Linked DNA regions of Tamandua tetradactyla. Each later gene encodes a partner of the first gene's protein in a complex. Links are inferred from orthologs where the notes say so. Each region holds a gene or a part of one and is shown in the gene's direction. Other genes may lie near its edges.

Region 1 (9,838 bases):
ACCTCTGGAGGCAATTTGAAAAATAATTGTTCTACCCTTTCTACTTGAGTAAAAAGCAGAGTTTTAAACTTGTCATTCTGCTCAAAAACCTTTAGCTACCAAAAAAAAAAAAAAAGTGGCCCAGCATTCAAGGCCCTTCATGATCCTTTCTAGTGTTACCCCTATTACTTACATACCTTGTCCTTCAACCAAAGTTGATTTTCCAGTACGCTCGGCTTTTCTGTCTTTGTCCATATTTCCCTTCCCACATTTTCATTATCAAATTGTACTTATCATTCAAACTGCTTAGCTAAAATTCTACTTCCTTGTACTTTAGTAATACATATTTACATATCTAATCTCTATACTGGAAGTTACCTGACGACAGGGTCTGCGTCTTACACATTTTTATATACTCCATTTCTTTTAGCATGATGCCTTATTCATCAGTATTTCTTTAAAAATCAAAATTGCCCTGATTTTTAGGTTTAAAATTTTTTATGGCCATAAATATTTAGTGTGCTTTAACTTGTTTATTTTGAGTTTATTTACCCTTGTATATTGTGAGTTGTTGAACACTGTTGAGTAAACATTAGTGAAAATTTAAGACATCAGTGTTCAAATTAATGAATAGGAGCCAAATTTCAGAGGTTATACAAATATCTTTTTTTAGTGAATGGACTAACATCACCTCTTTGCATTCTTCCCCAGCATTGTTATGAAAATTTTCATACTACAGAAAAGTTGGAAGAATTGTATAAATTGAGCTTTCAGATGAACATTCATATACCTATCATGTAGATTCTGCACCTGTTCACATTTTGCTGTGTTTATCACATTATCTATCCATCAGTCTTATTTTAGATGTATTTCAAAGTATGCTACTTTGTTTTTAACTACAGTGTTTTAATATTTTATTGCACTGCATAATACTGTAAAGTTAATTTCCTTGGCTTCTTTGATTGGCAGTATGAGTCACATAGTTCTGTTTTTTCTGATAATTGATAGATATGATTCCGTATTCCTTTTTTCTTTCTTTAAGTTCGAAGCATTCAGCAAACAATGGCAAGGCTGAGCCACCAGAAACGCGCACCTGATTTCCATGACAAATATGGTAATGCTGTATTAGCTAGTGGAGCTACTTTCTGTGTTGCTGTATGGACATATGTAAGTACTATTGATTAGTAATTTCTGTTTTAGTTGTTTCTCATTCCTCTTTGGCACGTGTATTCAACACATTTTAACACAGTAGCATACAATTATAGTTAGGATTAAGCAATGCAGGAATTTCTTCTTCCACATTCAGTACTCATCCATTTTCAATAACAAGTTGTTTACTGGATCAGGAGCAGCCATTTTCATGTCATGTACCTGTAAAAGGTAGATGTTAAAAGGGTATGTTAAAATCTGCCTCCCTTCAAATTCTGCCCATTAGTCTATTGCTATATAGAAATTTGGATCCCATGTCCATGTAACAGTTCTCAGATATTAGAAAATTGCAATCATCTCTTTCTCTGAATCATCTCTTTCAGGTTAAACATCCTAAGTTCTATCAGTCATTTTTTGCTATGTGGTTTCCAGGACTTTCACCGTCCAGGACACAGTCCACTTATCAGTTTTTCTTTTAAAATTGTATGCTTGGAACTGAGGACAGTGCTTCTGATGGATGAGATGTAAAGTAATTTGCTTTCAATATTTTAGCTTTTTTACATCTGTATATTTAATAATATACTTAGCAGTCACTCTTCTTGTTGGTTAAAAATAGAAAATCTGAAATTATAAAAAATGTTTATATTGGTTTTAAATGGTAAATCAACTCTTGCCTTGATAAACAAACTTTATTTAGTACACTTTTTCCATTCTTCACTTGATCATCCTGAAATCAGATCTACTATTAAAATAATTGTGTACATAATTAGAAGGATAAGCAGATGTTGAACAAATGTGTCATCAGAGGAGCTTTTAGAAATAAAGTCCTTAAGAATGAAGGGCTATTAAAACTAGCTCTTTCGTGGTTATTTAGTTGGTTGTAATGGAAAGAAACAATGTTTTGAGCAAGTACTATAGAACTATGGCATATAAATTTGAATTAAATAAAATTAAAAATTCAGTTCCTCAGTCATACTAGGCACATTTCACTTGCTTAGTAACCATGTGTGGCTAATGACTACTGTATTGGATATCAAAGATTTAGAACACTTCCATCATCTCAGAAAAGTTCTATTGGACAGCACTGCTGTTTTAATCTGTTGGAGGGCTATATCTCAGATGAGTGTCTGTGTATTTCTAACCTATAGAGCAAAATATCTTTGTCACTTTCAAGAAATGGGCTGTGAGAGAAGGGGGACTTGGAGTTAAATATGTGTAACTGACAACATTTTAATTCTTACAGACAGCAACACAAATTGGAATAGAATGGAACCTGTCCCCTGTTGGCAGAGTCACCCCAAAGGAATGGAGAGATCAGTAATCATCCCAGCTGGTGTGATACCAAAATGTTTCAAAAGCAACTCATAATTCATGACAAGTAAAAGCATTGTGTACCCATTAAAATATGACATTGTTGAAGAAATAAAGTACATTTGAAACCTTTATCGGAGGCTTTATTTCCTTTGTAAATGAAACCAAGTTTGATCACTTTTCATTTATTTAACTTTTGTCTTAATATTAAAGTCTAAATGCTATACAATTCTTAAATATCTTTTCTCTGTAAGGTAGTATAAAAGGAAAATTTGGCTATCACCTACAAGTCTGAAATTATAGCTCATGATTTCAAGAGGTATTTTAAATCATCTTTGAGCTAAAAATTTGGTATCCAGATTTTGGTTACACTTAATCCTTTTGTACCTCATTTATGTGTAGGTTTGGAATTTCCATTAAGTTCTTTTCACTCCTGCCTGGAGAACTTAAGATGTCATCAGAATCAAATGGAAGAGTGGTCATAGAAAATTACTAGGATATTTGAAAACTAGCCTGCTCCTTGCTTCCTTGGCACACTTATTTAGAGCTTTATATAGCATTGTTTAGAGAAGTTGAAAATGTTACTAAAGAAGTGTTCTGTCAAAAACAGTTTACTGACATAAAAAATAGTTGATTCACAATTATCTGTGACCTCTTCTGTTGCCTTATTGTAATTATAACAATGTTTCATTTTGTAGATTATCCTAAATTCATTATATGATAAGGGATTTCATGTATAGCTGAAGAAAATATTTGCACCAAGGGCTTCATTACTTCCTTGGTTGAAGGCTTATAAAATAGTTTGCAGTAGTGCATTGGCAATGGTCAAATATGAAGAAAATGAAATTTCAGTTGAGTAACTTGCCTATATTAGCTAGATTTAGAGATTACTAAAATCCACTTATCTGATAACTATAAAAAGTTTAGGTAAGTGGCTTTCGGGAATCTCCAAATTTACCTAATGTATATAAGGATTTAAACTTAACCAAATATTTCTAAGTATTTTTGCTTACTGTGAAATACTAGAAGTGCTTTCATAGTATGTCCTAGCTTCTCATCAAATGCACTAAAGTCAATAATTACATGATTTGAGTGGGAAAAATTTATTGCAAAATAAGTAGGTTACAAAACCGGTAACTAGTACCATTATTTAAAAAAATTTGGGACAAATATCTCATATTTAGAATGTTCCTCATAATAGTTCTAAGTATTATTCACATGTAATCCTGAGATATGATTAAGCAAAATAAACATGTCTTCAAGGAATTCTCAGTCTCCCATTAATTATCTTTTCATCACTGAGAGCAAGCTTCTAAAACTTAATTTTATAACTAACCTTGTCCTAATGATTAATTCTAAAACTATCATGGCCACTACTAGAATGGTAGTAGTTAAATCTTGAAATTCTTTATGCCGTCAGAATATTCTGGTTTTGCAGTTTACACATTCAGGTACAAAATTTTATCTTCTCACACAAAATGTACTAAACTTATCCCATAGCACATCACCTCAGTTAAGAGTTTTAATACCTGGAGTTGGAAGGTCATCAAATTGTCTTCCTATTAAGTATATGTATATCTGAAGAATTTAGGTAATTGACCTATTTTAGAAGCATCGTCAGTCTTTACAGTGTTGTTAGAGGGCTATGAAGTATTTTTTAATTAGGGTGAATCATAAATAATTCTTAATTTCATTTTAAAACAATTATTTTAGCACCTGTGATCTGTTCTTTTAAAATTGATTTAATAAACAACACTCTAGGTGCTGTGATAGTGTAGAGGCACAGTTGAGTTCACACCCTGAAGACAAATAACTTTAGTCGAGGTATTAAAACTATCTAATAAGCGTTTGTGGGGCACTTAATTATCTGACACCAGCAAACCAGACTTCTTGAATATATGCTTAATTTGAAAGGTCAGTCAAAATAATATATATCTATAGTAATTGTGAAAAAATGTTAATATGCTTATGCATTGATAAAGGGGATTAGGATGATGCATTTACAGATACAAGATATTTTAGAGTGAAGGAAAGGCTCAGTGCCTAAATGTACGTGACTTGTAGAGGATCCTGTGGCCCATAAAGGTAAACTTCAATATTTGTATAAAAGAACTAGAGAGCTAGTAGATTTGATGTTCCTCTGATAAGGTGATACTTCTGTTTTCTGCCTTTTAGTGAATTTCTTTGAAAGCTTAAAGCAGAGTTAATATTATAGTTGCAAACCAAGTTGTGACTTTATATTGGTGGGTGTAAGGGGGAGGGAAGGGATAATTGTTTCTGAAATATATAATTCAGTTCTAAAATTTCATTTGGTTTGGGAGGTTTTAAATGTCTGTCAAGGCTTAATAGGAATTTGACAACAGGTGGGATGGAAATTAACACTTAGGTATGTGTATTGTGTGCCAGAGACTTTTCTAAGCCTTTTACAATTATTAACTTATTTAATATTTGTATATTGTGTACTAGTTTGAGTTCTGCAACATTTTCAGACTTGGTGCTCTTCTGTGAGAACTGGGTTCAAATGGTTCCAGTTAAAAGTACAAATGGTCCTGTGATTAGTTTCACCCTACATATTAAGATACGGATTTGAGAAGAAATATGAAAAGACCACATCTTGCTTCGAAAATAAGTAAGATTAGTAAGCCTCTCCCCGTTTTATTGTTAATATTTATATTTTGCTAAGTCCTAGATTAAAAAAAGTAAGATTGGAAAAACAGGAGTAAAAGAATATACTGTTTCCTCAAATGGTTTCTCTATCACTTGTTTGTTGCATTGCATTGTTACATTTTATGGCTCTCATCAACTCATGATGATAGATACTCTAATATTTTTTTGCATCCCTGGAATCTTCTAGGTGTTTAAAATGATGGATTACCGAAATTGTTAAATGGGGGGAAGCGGTTCAAAGCTTGGGTTGGCTATGTGAAGGTAGATCTCCCCCTCAAACCTCAATACAAGACTTTTTCCCCCTCCTTGGTCATTTTTTAATGGCAGGGTGAAGGCAAGTTCTTAGTTGTGGCATTTACATGTGGAGTCAGGTTACACCAAAAAAAAAGTGATTTAATTCATGCTGGGAAAGGATGAAATATGTAGAAGATGATTTATAAGACGTTCATATGGTACAATAACAGCTTGAGGTTAAGAATCTGGCTTGAGGTTAAGAAACTACAGGTGACAGAAGCACTCTGGTTGTTTTTGTTTGTTTGGTTTTTGGTTTTTTGGTGGCGGACGAGGGCAATAGGATGGGTAGCGCCAAAACGATGACTTCCGCCTGAAGCTAGCTGCGCCTCAGCCCAACGGCAGCAGGGGGCGGGAGAAGCTTGGCTTTAATCTGTGCGTTCCCCATTCACGTGACACGTTGCCGCTCCCTCCTACGTCAGCCTCGCTTCCGGCTGGGGCATCGCCCGGAAGTAGGGTAGCTTGGGGAGGGACAGGTAAAGGCGGGCGGCGGCGGCAGTGGGTGGAGGAAGAGTAAAAGCAGAGGGAGGAGCTCCTGCTGCCGCCGCCGCCGCCGTCGCCGCCACCGTCACAGTCATTCCCTCCGTTGTGACTTCTTCCCGTGTGTGAGATTGGAACCCGTGCTTGTTGGATTTATCCGTGCCACAGTCAGCGTAGCTCCGGAGGTTTTACCATAGAACAGAAACACACAGGTAGGTCCTGTATCGGGTTCCCATCATCCTCTTCTACTGGATAGGGTGTTCTGAACAACCGAGTTTGGTGAGAAGGTCATTTTAATCTGGGGCAATCTCCAAACTCTCACTTCTTCAGGATTTGGTTATTTACTGCACGTAAGTTTTATCTTCCCATGACCCGCGTTACTCTCTGGATCATTCATGGCCTCTTGAGGGTATGAGGAGGTCTTTGCCTAGTATTGGAGGTCTCATGGATTAGGGTCTGTGCTTAGTGACACACCTTTATACTTTGGAAACTAAGGCTATTAAGGTCACCATTATTAATAAAATAATTAAAAACTAGGCATTTTGCTTCTTGTTTCCCTCTGAGATCATTAACTAAACTGAGAGTGCAGTTTTCACTTCATTTTGATCTTGTGTCCCTTTCCCAGAAAAGTTAGTCTCCATCCTTGTCCCATCCTTTTGCATCTTTATCTTTGATACTTTCTGTTGTAGACAGCACTTTTCTGTCATTTCACAGTTGGTTTTCCAGGATCTGAACTTTGTTTTAATCATAGCCTCTTCATCTATAGTAGTATTACTTTTTTAATAAGACTTCATTTGTGTTCAAAATTGAATTAGGTGATACTGAGATGGGGGGAGGGGTGCTGCTCAAGAAATAAGACAGGGTGCCTGACCTCAAAAGAGTTTACAATCAAGTTAGATGAGTTCGGCTAATAATGAAGGCAATGGTTTCTATCAACCCCACTGATTGAAACTAGACTGTTTATCTCATCCTTTTAAAAGGATATTTTGAACTTTTTAATATATATATATTTTTATTTTTCAAACTTTCATGAGAAGGTGTTTTTGTACTGGAGGATCTCACAATGTAGTGGAAAGATGATTAAACACTTTTTATCACACTTACATTGTGTGTTAGAACCAGAAAGTGTTATGAGAGCCCGGAGAAGGGAGCATTTGAGCTGGGCCTTGAAAACTGGATAGGATTTAGCTTTGTGGAAATGGAGGGAGAGGAAGACAGTCTAGGTAGAAGAAATAACATGAGCAAAGTCTTGGAGGCTACACTGTCAAGTCAATTTCCTTATTTCCAGTACATTCACATCTTCCAAGATGTCACTGGTTAAAGGGGGAAAAAAAAAACTACAAAGCCGTAAATATGGTAAGCTTACAACTATAACCAATTACCTTCCAGCCAAAAATTGAAAAAGCCTATACATGGAAAAAACACAAAGGGAAATGACAAAAACAATGTTAATGCATAATGACAAGATTTAATTCTGATGTAAACTCAAATCTAAAAGGAATGATGAATACATAACTATGTGATGATATTGTGAAGCATTGATTGTATACTTTGGATGGATTATATGGTGTGTGAAGATATCTCAATAAAAATACATAAAAATTTTTAAAAATCTAAAAGAAAAAATAATGCTTGCTATACTTTCATTCTGATTAAGTGTTGCATCTTAAATATAATTTGGAAAACTTTTTAAAGTTGCTGGGAATTAATAACAATATTGTAAAGTCAGGAGCTGTTTCAGGTTTTCTCCAAAGAAATTTTTGCTCTCTTTTTTCCAAATTGATTTCTCTACTGGTTTTCTTACCTTGATAGACACTATTCATTTCCAATTACAGTCTTAAAATGATCTTGATTTCTGGACTTCACCTAGGATTAGGTAAAACACAAATAACCCCAAAGGATAGGTTAACAGGTGTGTTCTCTAATGCAGCAGGTTGTTTTTCTTTGAAAAATCCATAAAGAAGCAGTGGAATTTGTTTAAAAGATAGAGAAAGAGAGAGGGACAGAGCACGAATAATCCTATCTAACACAGAAGTAAAACCTTTACTTCTGTGAGAGCTTGAAGGTTCTACATTTCTTTTATAAATTCCTTGATATAACTGCTTTTATCTATGTATTTAAAAATTCTTGACAAACTTTAATCAAGACTTTTAACACCCCGGTGAGTGAAAATAATCTTCATTTGATCATTGGGAAAATAAGTTGTGAGAAGTGAAGATTTGTCTGAGGTGATACAGTCACTGGCAGAGATGAGAATAATATTTTGGAATTTTGTCTTAAAATTTCCTCTACTCATATTTGTTAAAAAGAAGTGCCAGTTTACTGTTTTTTTTAAACAGTGATTTTTTTCCTTCAAAAGAATTTTTAATGCAATTTTATTGTGATATATGTTCACATACCATATGATCATCCAAGGTGTACATCTTATAGCTGTGCATTCATCACCACAATTGACTTTTTTGTGTGAAAAATAACATATATACAAAAAAGCAATACATTTCAAAGCACACTGCAGCAATTAGTTGTAGAACAGATTTCAGAGCTTGGTATGGGTTACCGTTAGTTCCACAATTTTAGGTTTTTACTACTAGCTGCTCTAAGACGCTAGAGACTAAAGAGATATCAAAATAATGATTCAGCAATCATACTCATTTGTTAAACCTTACCTTCTCTGTTATAACTCCACCATCTTCTTTGATCTTTCTCCTACTCTTTAGGGTTATTTGGGCTTTACAATCAATTTTTGAAGATTTTCATTACTCCAAAAAATAAAAATAATAATAGAAGTGCAAATAAAAGTAAAAAAGTACATCCAAAACATCCCATTCCCACTCCCCTCTATTATTTATTTATTCTTTGTCTTGTTTTTTTTCTTACTCGTCTGTCCATATGCTGGGAGTGTCAGTCACAAGATTTTCAGTCACAGGGTCACACCTTAAAAGCTCTATAGTTATTCAGTCATCTTCAAGGATCAAGACTATTGGATTGCACTTCAACAGTTTCAGGTATTTTCCCTCTAGCTACTCCAAAACCCCCAAAGCTGAAAAGGGATACCTCTATACTGCATAAGAATAACCTCCAGAGTGACCTCTCAACTCCACTTGAAATCTCTCAGCCACTGAAACTTTATTTTGTTTCATTTCTCTTCCCCTTTTTGGTGAAGAAGTCTTTCTCAATCCCATGATGCTAGCACCAGGCTCATCCCTGGGAGTCATGTCCCAACAGTGATTTTTTTTTTTTTCAAAAGGAGAAACTGTTTGTTACTAGGCGCATAGTAGGAAAGCAGATGGCCTAGCTATCCAAAATCTGTCTCCTCGAACTGCAGTAATTCTGGTAGTTTTATTAGAGAAAAGATGGGCAGGGTTTAGGATAATGAGTAGAGTGGCCCCAGATGATATAATTAGAGGTGATCTAATTATATCACCTGGCATGCACAAATTGATTACGTGCTTAGTCAAAGAACATGTGTAAGGAAATGGTGGAATGAGGTATAGGTGACTTGTAGATTTAAGTCTCAACTCTAACAGTGATTTTTTAAACAGCAGTTTTCCACAGGACATAAGGCAAGATAGTGGCAGGGACAGGGGGAGGCATTAGCCAGCAGTCAGACAGAGAATTTCAGTTCATTCTACCATCCCAGCAATTATGTTTTTCACTTCTAAATCTCAGTCAGTCTTCAGGTTGATGTAATGTGATACCTGCTGATTTGCTGAGATAGTATGGCAGAAGTATCAAAATTCATTTAGAATGTGTTTCATTAAAGTGAAAGGGACAGTATTTCTGGTTTCATAAATATGTTTCTGATTTCTTCAGCACTGTTAGCAAATTGAAGTGATTTCCTCATCTTTGTGAGCTCACATGTGTAGAATATTGGTAGGGTACATAATTTTTCACAGATACTTCTTTCCTTGAAGGAAATGATAAAATATCTCCATTTTGAACCACTTTGCACTTGTTCCAT
Region 2 (9,608 bases), on another chromosome or scaffold:
AAAAAAAAAAACAGACTCAGAGAGGTTAAGTAACTTGCACAAGTTTACCCAGCTAGGGCTGGAAGCTAGGACTCTGACTTCGTGTTCTCTTACCCGCTCCTCAATCATCCTATTCAGGGAAGGAGGATAGTAGAGAAAGGGGCATGGTCTCCTCAAAAACTTCTGAAAGACTGCTATGTGCTCTTTATCCTTTCATGTGTAGCACTCGGTAATGCTGCATACAGAAATTTCGAAGTGGTTTGAGGATTTTGGAGCCCATGGCAAATCCTGGTAATCTACAGCCAAAGCTCTGCAAAAGGCTTTTTCCAGCACACTCTGATACTACCTATGAATCTAGAAGGCCCCACCTTCTGTGGTTTAGAAGACCAAATAACAATCATATTAATAATATGTTTCAAGCACCATGGTGCTAGGCACATTTTTTTTTCAATTCATCCTCCCCAAAATTCTATGAAATATTAACTCTGTTTTACAGATCTACCAACTATGGCAGAATTAGTATTAGTATTCAAAATCAAGTTTATACTGGGGTACATGGTGGTCCAGTGGTAGGATGCTCGTCTTCCATGCGGGAGACCTGGGTTCAAGTTCCAGACCATGCACCTAAAAAATAATAATAATAAAGTTTATACCACTCTAAATTCAAAAAGGAAGAAAGGACCAAGAATAATATATGAATCCTCACAACAGTTAATTTCAACAGATGGAGAAACCAAAGTGAAAAGAAGTTAATTTTTCAACCATCAAATTACAAAATATCTTTCTATATGTAACAAGCCTAGAAATAAGCTGCAGCTGGCATTGGTCCAGTACCCACAATGTCAGGACTAGCATCTCTGTGATTCTCTTAATTGCAAGATGGTGGACACTATTCTAGAGTGTTCTAAGCAGAAAGGGAGAAAGGAGTGGTATTTGTTCCCTTGGTGAGGAATGCCGGAGCTTTCCCAGGAGCCTCCTAGAAGACTTCTACTTTTGTCTCATTGACTACAGCCCTATCAAATGGCATACCTGGCTGCAAGGGAGGCTGGAAAAGCATATTTAGATATTTCAGCATCAATAGTAGCAAGAGTAAAAGATCGGGAACAGTTGTTGGATTAGCCAACAAATGGTCTCTGCCATAAGGAGTGGCAAAATAAATTAAGATTACTGAATAATGGAACATTACATGGCACCAAAAAGAAAGAAGGAAATTAATTGTAAAATAAGAAAATCAGAGTGCAAAACATATGTTATATGCATTTTGTTTATGAAAGGGGGAATCGGGGTAGGAGGGTGTATTAGGGTTATCTAGGGAAACAGAACCAACAGGAGATATCTGTAAATATGAGATTTTATAAAAGGGTCTCATGCAACCGTGGGGATACACAAGTCCAAATTATGACTGCAGGCTGCAAGCTGGCAGCTCTGATGAAGGTCTTTGATGAATTCCCCAGGAGAGGCTGGTTCATTGAAGTGCAGTGAGAGATTCTCTCTTCTGACTTCTCCTTTTAAAGCCTTCATCTGATTCAATTAAATCTCTCTCATTGCTGAAGATACTCTCGTTAATTTAGATGTAATCAGTCATAGATGCAATCAACTTACTGATGATTTTTTTTTTTTTTCGCATGAGCAGGCACCGGGAATCGAACCCGGGTCTCCAGCATGGCAGGTGAGGATTCTGCCTGCTGAGCCACCATGGCCCACCCCTTACTGATGATTTAAGTCCACAAAATGTCCTTGCAGTAATGCTTAGGCCAGTGCTTCACCAGACAACTGGGCACCATTATCTGGCCAAGTTGAAACATAAACCACCACAGAGGGAGACCTATTTTTCAGTGTATACCCTTTTGTGCTATTTGAAAATTTTTAAACACAACATGTACATTGGAATTTTGCCTCTGATCCTGTACCTGTCCAAAATAACCTCTAGTAGAAATTGCTATAGTATATCTTTAGTCTATTTTTATTATAAATAAATGGATTTTATGTGTATAATTATATAGGACTACAATCCTGTGCATTTTCCTCTCCCCTTTGATAGGCCTTCATTTGCCACCTATAATGGGTTTCCATGATGCTGCTGCTTTATTAAATTGTTTTCTCCCTGCTTAACTCCCCATTGCCCATTTTCTGAGCCACCCACTCTTCCTTTGCCTTGATTGGCTTGCCTTGTCACTGTTGCTTTTGGCTTTGTGAAGGATTTACTCTCCCTAACCCCCTGACCCCCACAGGGATGTCGTTATCCCCAGCCTCAGTGCACAACTGTCCCCCAGTGTTGCCAAAGTTCTCAGCCGTGCCTTCTGAGACCTGAGGTTACCAGCCCTATAGCACCCTCTTTCCTCCCTTCTTTCTCCCTTCCTCCCACCCAAACAAAATCTCTCCATGTGGAGTAAAATGATGATCACCTTCCCACACCTACATGTTTCCTACAGGAGAACAGATGTAGAATGGGTAGTCTGCCACCTATTTAGAGAGTGTAGGGAAAAAGAATTTTTGGCTTTAGGAAATGGCAAATGGTGGGGACGGCGCAGTGGATTAACAGGTGAGCATTTTTGCCAGTAGGGGAAGACTGCCTGCCAAGTTGCCAGCAGGGGCTCTAGCAATTAGAACTCTTTTGTAGAAGAGTTGTAATATTCTTTAATGTCTACCATGTGCCAACCAATGCACAAGGCAGTTTGCATAAATTATCATATTTATTCCTCCCAATGATGCTACAAAGTAGGTCTCTTTGGAGGAACCATATGTCCTGATTTACCTGGAGCAGTCATAGTTATATGCCCATGGTCCTGGCATAATTATTAATGACATCCTTTTTCAGTCTCAAAAAAAAAAAAAGGTTTACATAAAAAATTGTAAGTCACCTTAACTATCCCCTTTAATAAGGGAGCATATTGAGACTTAAAGGGTTGAAGTAACACACCTGGTAAATGATAAGGGTAAGATTCAAACTAGCCCCTGGCCTAGACTTGTTCCTTTGATTTTGTGTTCCTTGAATTTAGGAACCATTATCCTCTTCCCTAAACCAAAGTTAGTAGCTTTTTGTTAATCCCTCCGTCTATCTGGGTCTAATCAGGAGAGAAAAACCACATGGTAATTTGCACAAGGAAAATTTAAAGAATTATTATAACAAGATGCCATGGTAATGAGGGATTGGCTAATAAGAAGTAAAGAGAGCTCTAAAGAATACAGGAATAGCAGATATAAGGAGCAGCCACTAACCAGAGGGCTGAAAGAGAACACCCGATGAGCGCCTCCCTTCCTGCCCCACCCTCAGCCTGAGATGAACACCTTGTTCGAGATGGCATAGCTGTGGCCCACACCCTGGGGCCGCACTGGTGGAACTGGCTAGAAATCCATTCTCTAAAGTGCTGAAGAAAACTGTTTACACAGAGCTGTTTACTGGAGAAACTCTGCTCAAAACCACTTCTACCAGGGTTTGAGGTGGGGTAAGTGGGGCACTGCTAGCCAGGTGTTGCTGGTCCCTAGGCTAAAAGCAGGGGCCTGGTCCCGAAGAAGCCATCCACAGGAGCTGGGAGAGCCACACATACTGCAGGACCCTGGTGAATCAGCCCAGCGGAAACAGGAAGGAAAACTTTTTCTTCAGTCAGTGTCTCTCCAGAACCTTCAACCGAAAAAGTTAAACATCTCACCAGCTGTAAAGGACAAAATAAATTTAAAGGGCCCAGATCCATTTTCACAGTGCAGGCAAAAAGGATGAATCTGGAGCTGAGCAGCAATAAATTAATAACCAGCACACTCCCTCAAAAAACTTCCCTGTGTTATACTATAATTTTCCTCTAGTAGGGGCTTTCGAAACAAGAGGAAGGAGGACTAAAAGTGTTCCTCAAAATGAGGCAGGAAGAAAGGTAACAAAATAAGGTGTCAGTGGCTAAGAGAGTTCAAATGGAGTGGAGAGGCTATTCTGGAGGCTACCCTTACACAAACTTAAGCTAGATATTGCTAATTGCCAGGGTTTGCCAAATCCTAATTAACATTACTCTCATTAACCCTAAAGAGCACCCAGGCTGTATCTTAGATTCTACAAAAGTTTCACACACCAAGTTTACTTCTCAGAAACCTAAAACTTCAGATGGTTCCCAGGCCAGATAAGTCCTGAAACCCCCAGTCTCTGCAAAATCATCAACCAGTTCTGTCCCCGTATCCTGTATGATTGACGCCGCTTTTCAATGTGAAAAAATTAGAATGGGTATAGCCCAAATATCCCTAAGGACTGGGAGAAGGATCAAAGGAGAAGGAGTTATAAAAGAAACGTTAGGATTTAACTAATGAGTATGACTATTGAATCATTATATTGATATTGCCATTTAGTCTCCAGTGTCTTGGAGCAGCTAGAAGGAAAAACCTGAAATTGTGGAACTGTAACCCATACCCAACGTTGAATTCTGTTCTATAACTACTTGTTAAAATGTAATTTAAAATGTATTCTTTTTTTTGTATCTATGTTACATCTCATAGTAAAAAATGTTTTAAAAAGCTCTTATCAAAAAAAGTTAAAAAGCCCTTATCAGATATATGTTTTCCAAATATTACCCCCATTCTGTAGGTTGTCTTTTTTACTTTCTAATTTATTAAAAGTAATGTCTCTTTTATAACTCCTTCTCCTTTGATCCTTCTCCCAATCCTTAGTGATATTTGGGCTATGCCCATTCTAATTTTTTCACATTGAAAAGTCCTTTGATGCACACACACACACACACACACACACACACAAAAGGCAGCTGTGTATCTGGGGAGAGGCCTAGAAATCTGAATATTTATCAGGCTTTCTAAGCCATTCTTGATGAAAGACCTTTGAGAAACTATTTAGACAGAGCACCCCCACCCCTGGGAGGGTCCTTGGATATTTCCAAGGAGAGAGTCACCTTGGTTCTCTGTGTATTGGGTATGTGTGTGTGAAGTTTCAGGTTTTCACATGTCTGTTTCTCTGTAAGTTTCCTAGAGCATGTCTGCCTCTATGTCTCCACACATAGCTGTGGATCTCTTTAGTCTTGTCAAATAGTTTATCTGTGTGAGCCTACCTCTCAGGCTTAATATCTCTGTCTCTCAAATCTGCTCACTTTTGCCTTCCAGTTTTTAATTCATGCTGTTCCCTGGGCCCAAAACACTGTTCCCCATACCTCCCTTTCCCCTAATGAGCTCATCTTCCTCATCAGGTGAATTTGATTCTTCCTCTTTAACTCAGATATTACATCCTCCAGAAGCCTCCGCCTCTCCCTTCCCGCACTCCAGTCTGAATTAGGAACCTTTTGTCTAAACTCCCATGACAACCCTTCATAGCTCCTTTATGGCTGCATTATTCATTGCTTCTTTCGCTCCCTTCGAAGGTACGTCGTTTTCCACTACAGCACCTTGGGATGCCTAACACAGTGCTAGCCCACGGTTAGTACTCCATAAATATTGACTGAGTAAATGAGATTGTGTATCACGAAAAAATGAGACCGTGTATTGTGCATGTATTTACGAGGGATGGAATCTGTTCTGTTGACTATTGGTGCCCTTGTATTCCCAGTCCCTACTACAAGGCCTGACATGGAGCAGGCGTTCTAAAAATGGCCAAGCGCCAATGGGGATTCACTTGGCGGGAATCTACCGGTAGTGGTCCGGTATCTGCCCACCGACTAGGAGGTGCCAGCGCAGCGGCGGAAAGGGCGGGGCCTGGCGGCGGTTCGACCCCGGAGAGGGCGGGGCTTGGCCGAGTGGCCCGTCTCCTCCCGGCGCGCTCACCCGGAAGCGCTGCCCCAGCGAACTTGCCTAGCGTCCGGGAGGCTGCACCGCCAACCCCTTCACCCCTGCTCCCGCCATCCATTATGCCGGTAAGTGGCCGCGTCGTCCCGGCCCTGCCCAAACCTGGGGCCCCTGGGTCGCGCCTTGGCTGCACTGCTGCTTGACCAGGGGTTGCTACCCCCCCCCCCCCAGCTTCTAGGACCCTCCAGAAAATCGGAACCGAGAGGAAGTGATTCAAGGAGCCAGGCTTCAGAATGCTGGAGTTACAACGCCTCCAACGATCACGAGCCCAAACCCTCCTTGCATGTACTGGGAAACTAAGATCCAAAAAGGAGGCAGACATCCGAGGTTACACAGAGAATTGGTGGCAAGCTGGAATGGGAAACCTTAGTTCTGCACCTTCCTCCTGGATGCCCCTTTCCCGGGAGCTGACCTTAAAGAAGAATGTGGGGTGGTTATGAGCAAGTTATGAGCCCGACTCTTGCCACCCTGACTGGGCAGGTTTTCAGAGATCCATATTTTTCTTCACTTCCCTGCCCACTCTGGCAGATTTTCAGGTCGGTGTTGGACGAACTTGAATGGCGCCAGTACTTTTGACCTTTTTCAACTGGTCAGTTTCTGAACCTGAATCCATGAGCTCCAGAGAGGTTCAGAGTCCTGCTCAAAGTCATCAGTTACTCAGTGACAGAGTTTGGGGAGGAATGAGCAGGTCTTAGCCTGCCTTTGCAGCTCACTCAGCCTTATTGCACATACATCTTTGGTCATGGCCTCATTTTGTAGATAACAAATTAAAGTCTTTTGCAGATAAAAAAAATTAAAAGCCCAGTAATTTATTCAAAATTGTGTTGAGAGATGGGTGGAACCAAAATTAAGCCCCTTATCCTCCAGCTTCCAGTCCTTCCTGGCCTAATCACACAGGGAAGCAACCTGCAAAAGCAGTCACACCTGCTTGGGAGAAAGCTCCAATTCCAGTTGCCTCTCTGAGATCCTGGTTGGGGTCAGGTGGTGTTTAGCATTTTCCCTCCACGGTGTCTAGTTCCTGGCTCTACTCCAAGTGAGTGCCCAGAAGTGTTCCCAGACACCCTGTGTCTTAGCAGCCTGTCATTGGGGAGCTGACAGGTGAGCCACCGCCCCCCTGGGCAGAGCCACAAACATCTCAGTTGTCAGTTCCCTTGGGTCTTGCCAGGTTCCTTGAGACAAATCCTCAGACATCACAAGCTATAGACAAAGAGCCTGACAGAATCTGCCCTCCCAGCTTAGCAAATCCACTGTGGCAATGTTAGAAAACAGCATTAATCACCCTGGGACCAGATTGTAGAGGCCACTAGGGTTTTTGTGGAGAATGGTAGTGAGGGAAAGGCCAGCCTGAGGATCACAATACTCTTTGCCCATTTCTGGGGATTTTGACAAACCAGAGACTCTGGAGAGGATAATGGGGATGGGGAAGGCATTAACACCGAAGACATCTCAAGAAGGCATTCTTGAGATGAATGGCTGAAGGAGAAAGGATAGTAGTCCAGAGACTGCCTTCAAAATCAGAAGGGGAAGAGTATCTCACCTCAGATTTCTCAGACAAGCACTTACACAGGCTGTGGGATCCCAGAAACTTCTGTGAACATTTGTGCCCACACCTGCCAGCTGGGTGACCTCAGCAAGTTGCTTTACTTCTCTGTGCCTTGGTTTACTCATCTGTAAAATGGGGATAAAAGTCTGACCTTGGGTGGTGCACCAGTGGCTCAGTGGCAGAATTCTCACCTGCTGTGGCAGAGACCTAGGTTCAATTCCCAGAGCTTGCCCATGCCCCGCCCCCCCCCCCAAAAAATCTGACCTCACGAGACTATTGTTAATATTAACTGGAAGAACAATAGTCAAATGTATAGCATAGCCACTGACATAGCCGGTCCCAAGAAATGGTAGTTCTAGGGTAGACCTAGGGCAGAAGAGAGGGGTGGAACTATAGGCATGCAGATTTGAACACAATATTAACAAGGACTGCAGTGGTTCAGGATTAGGCTTTGGAGAGTGTCTGCATCCAGTCCCATGTCATGCCACTCTCTAGCTATATGACCCAAGTGAGTGACCTCACCTCAAGCTCAGTTCCCCCATCTGTAAAGAAGGGATAATAATATCGCCCTTTGTGAAGATTAAATAAGATAATGCCTATAAGTGCTTAGAAATGCCTGGCACATAGCAAGAATTCAAATATATTAGTACTAATAAACTCCCAGTAACCGGGGTGGGTATCAAGGACTGAATATCCCAGATATTTAAGAATGCCTTCACTAGAAGGAGGCTGGCCAAAGTGACCCTGCTCTATCCCTGCCCTTCCAGTGTTGAAATTCTGTTAAAAGAATTGTACGGCTTACTGGACTTTTTCATCTACTTTTTTTTTTTTTAACTCTTTTCATTGTATAATATATATACAAAGCAAAGAAAAAAGCAATAATTTTCAAGCACGCTTCAACATGTAGTTATAGAACAGATCCCATAGTTTGTCATGAGCTACCATTCCATCATCTCAGATTTCTACTTTTATGATTGTATGTCAAAATTTACAATCAGATTTCTACTTTTAAGAACTCATTGTTTAGGTGAGAAGCTCAGACCCAGAGGGGCCAGAACTGACCAAAATCAAGCATCCAATGATGGAGGAGGTCTGAGGAATTTCCTGTAAAGAATGGATTATCACTTTGTCCATTAAGCAGATCCTCCACCACCCCCAGATTTGTTTTTGCAACTCAGAGGTGGGGGAGGAGGGTACTGAACTATGTTTGCTTCCAGCAGCCACCTCCTGGCTTCTGACCTCTGCTGTGGAGGATGAAATGACACCCATTGCTTATAGTCAACAGCAGAAAGCTTCAGTTAGCTATTAACTTCAGGATCTTGGGCAGCAAAAAAAAAATGTGTTTTCTATATCCTGGAGAAAGTATTCCCACTCTCAGCTCCTGCTAAGAGTCAGGGTTGTGGGGGGCAGCAGGTGGTGGTGCAGTTTACTGATCCAAAGTCAGCAAGATTTCCCTGAATCGAGGAAGGCCTAGATTCACATCACATCCTCAATACTTAACATATGACTGTGGGCAGCTTAGTTAGCCTCTGGGAACCTCATTTTCCTCCTAGGTAAAATAGCTCCCACTCCAAGCTGAGTGAGGACTAACTTAGTTACTGTATAAAGAGCATTTGGCATATAGTAGGCATTCTATAAATTTAGATTTTATTTTGATCTTGCAAATACTTAAAGCTTTGAAAGATATATAAGTACAAACTACAGATGAAGTTTTTTTAAATAGAAATTGAACACCTACTATACCCTATGGGTGGCCAGTTTTATCTGTCTGGTTTCTAGCAAAAACACCACATTCCTTGGGTTAGAGAGGTCACATTGTAATTCCAGTCTCTGGGGCTCTCAACGCACAGCCCAGAGCCATTCCAAAAAGGAGATCTGTCTGATTGGGTATCTGAAGTTTTCTGTCATGGCCAGGTGTACAAGTGTAAGGAGGATGTTATTAGAGGACTACCTGTCTTGGGACGCTGAGGGGGATAGGCACAGACCCAACAGTGACTCTGATTGTTTCCATTTGTTGTGTGGTATACCAGATGGACAGAAATTGTCCATAGGGCAGAAATAGGAGAAAGAGGAAATAAAAGAAAATCATGGTGAAGGGTGGGGATTATTGGGGATGGAGATTGGACATTGTAAGGCATATAGGATGAATAAGAGACAGTATAGACAGATGGTGAAAAGGAAGAGACAGAATAAAATAAGGAAATTCAGGCATGTCTTGATTTGTGATATTGAGTATCATCTCCTTGTTCTGACCTTTTGGGCCAAAGCTCTGTACATCAGATGCCATCTGCTTGTGGAATCCTCATGTTAGTTTTAACTT

Evidence for each region.
Region 2: the proteins of ATP7A (region 1) and ATOX1 are in contact, whole or in part, in an NMR structure (PDB 2K1R), measured with the Homo sapiens proteins. The link is inferred for Tamandua tetradactyla from reciprocal best matches to the Homo sapiens genes ATP7A and ATOX1. Residues at the interface, in NP_000043.4 of Homo sapiens: Cys19, Asn20, Ser21, Cys22, Trp24, Thr25, Gln29, Asp67, Asp68, Met69, Gly70, Phe71, Asp72; in NP_004036.1 of Homo sapiens: Thr11, Cys12, Gly13, Gly14, Cys15, Ala18, Arg21, Val22, Lys25, Lys57, Thr58, Gly59, Lys60.

What each region holds. Positions count from the first base shown.
Region 1 is NC_135353.1:92,590,183-92,600,020, reverse strand, and holds the start of ATP7A (copper-transporting ATPase 1), read left to right. Parts: upstream 1-5,841; 5' UTR 5,842-6,089; intron 6,090-9,838. Other genes in the region: COX7B (cytochrome c oxidase subunit 7B, mitochondrial), read left to right, coding at 1,022-1,146, 2,372-2,449. UniProt on the Homo sapiens protein: ATP-driven copper (Cu(+)) ion pump that plays an important role in intracellular copper ion homeostasis.
Region 2 is NC_135346.1:32,593,365-32,602,972, reverse strand, and holds the start of ATOX1 (copper transport protein ATOX1), read left to right. Parts: upstream 1-5,647; 5' UTR 5,648-5,807; coding exon 5,808-5,813; intron 5,814-9,608. UniProt on the Homo sapiens protein: Binds and deliver cytosolic copper to the copper ATPase proteins. May be important in cellular antioxidant defense.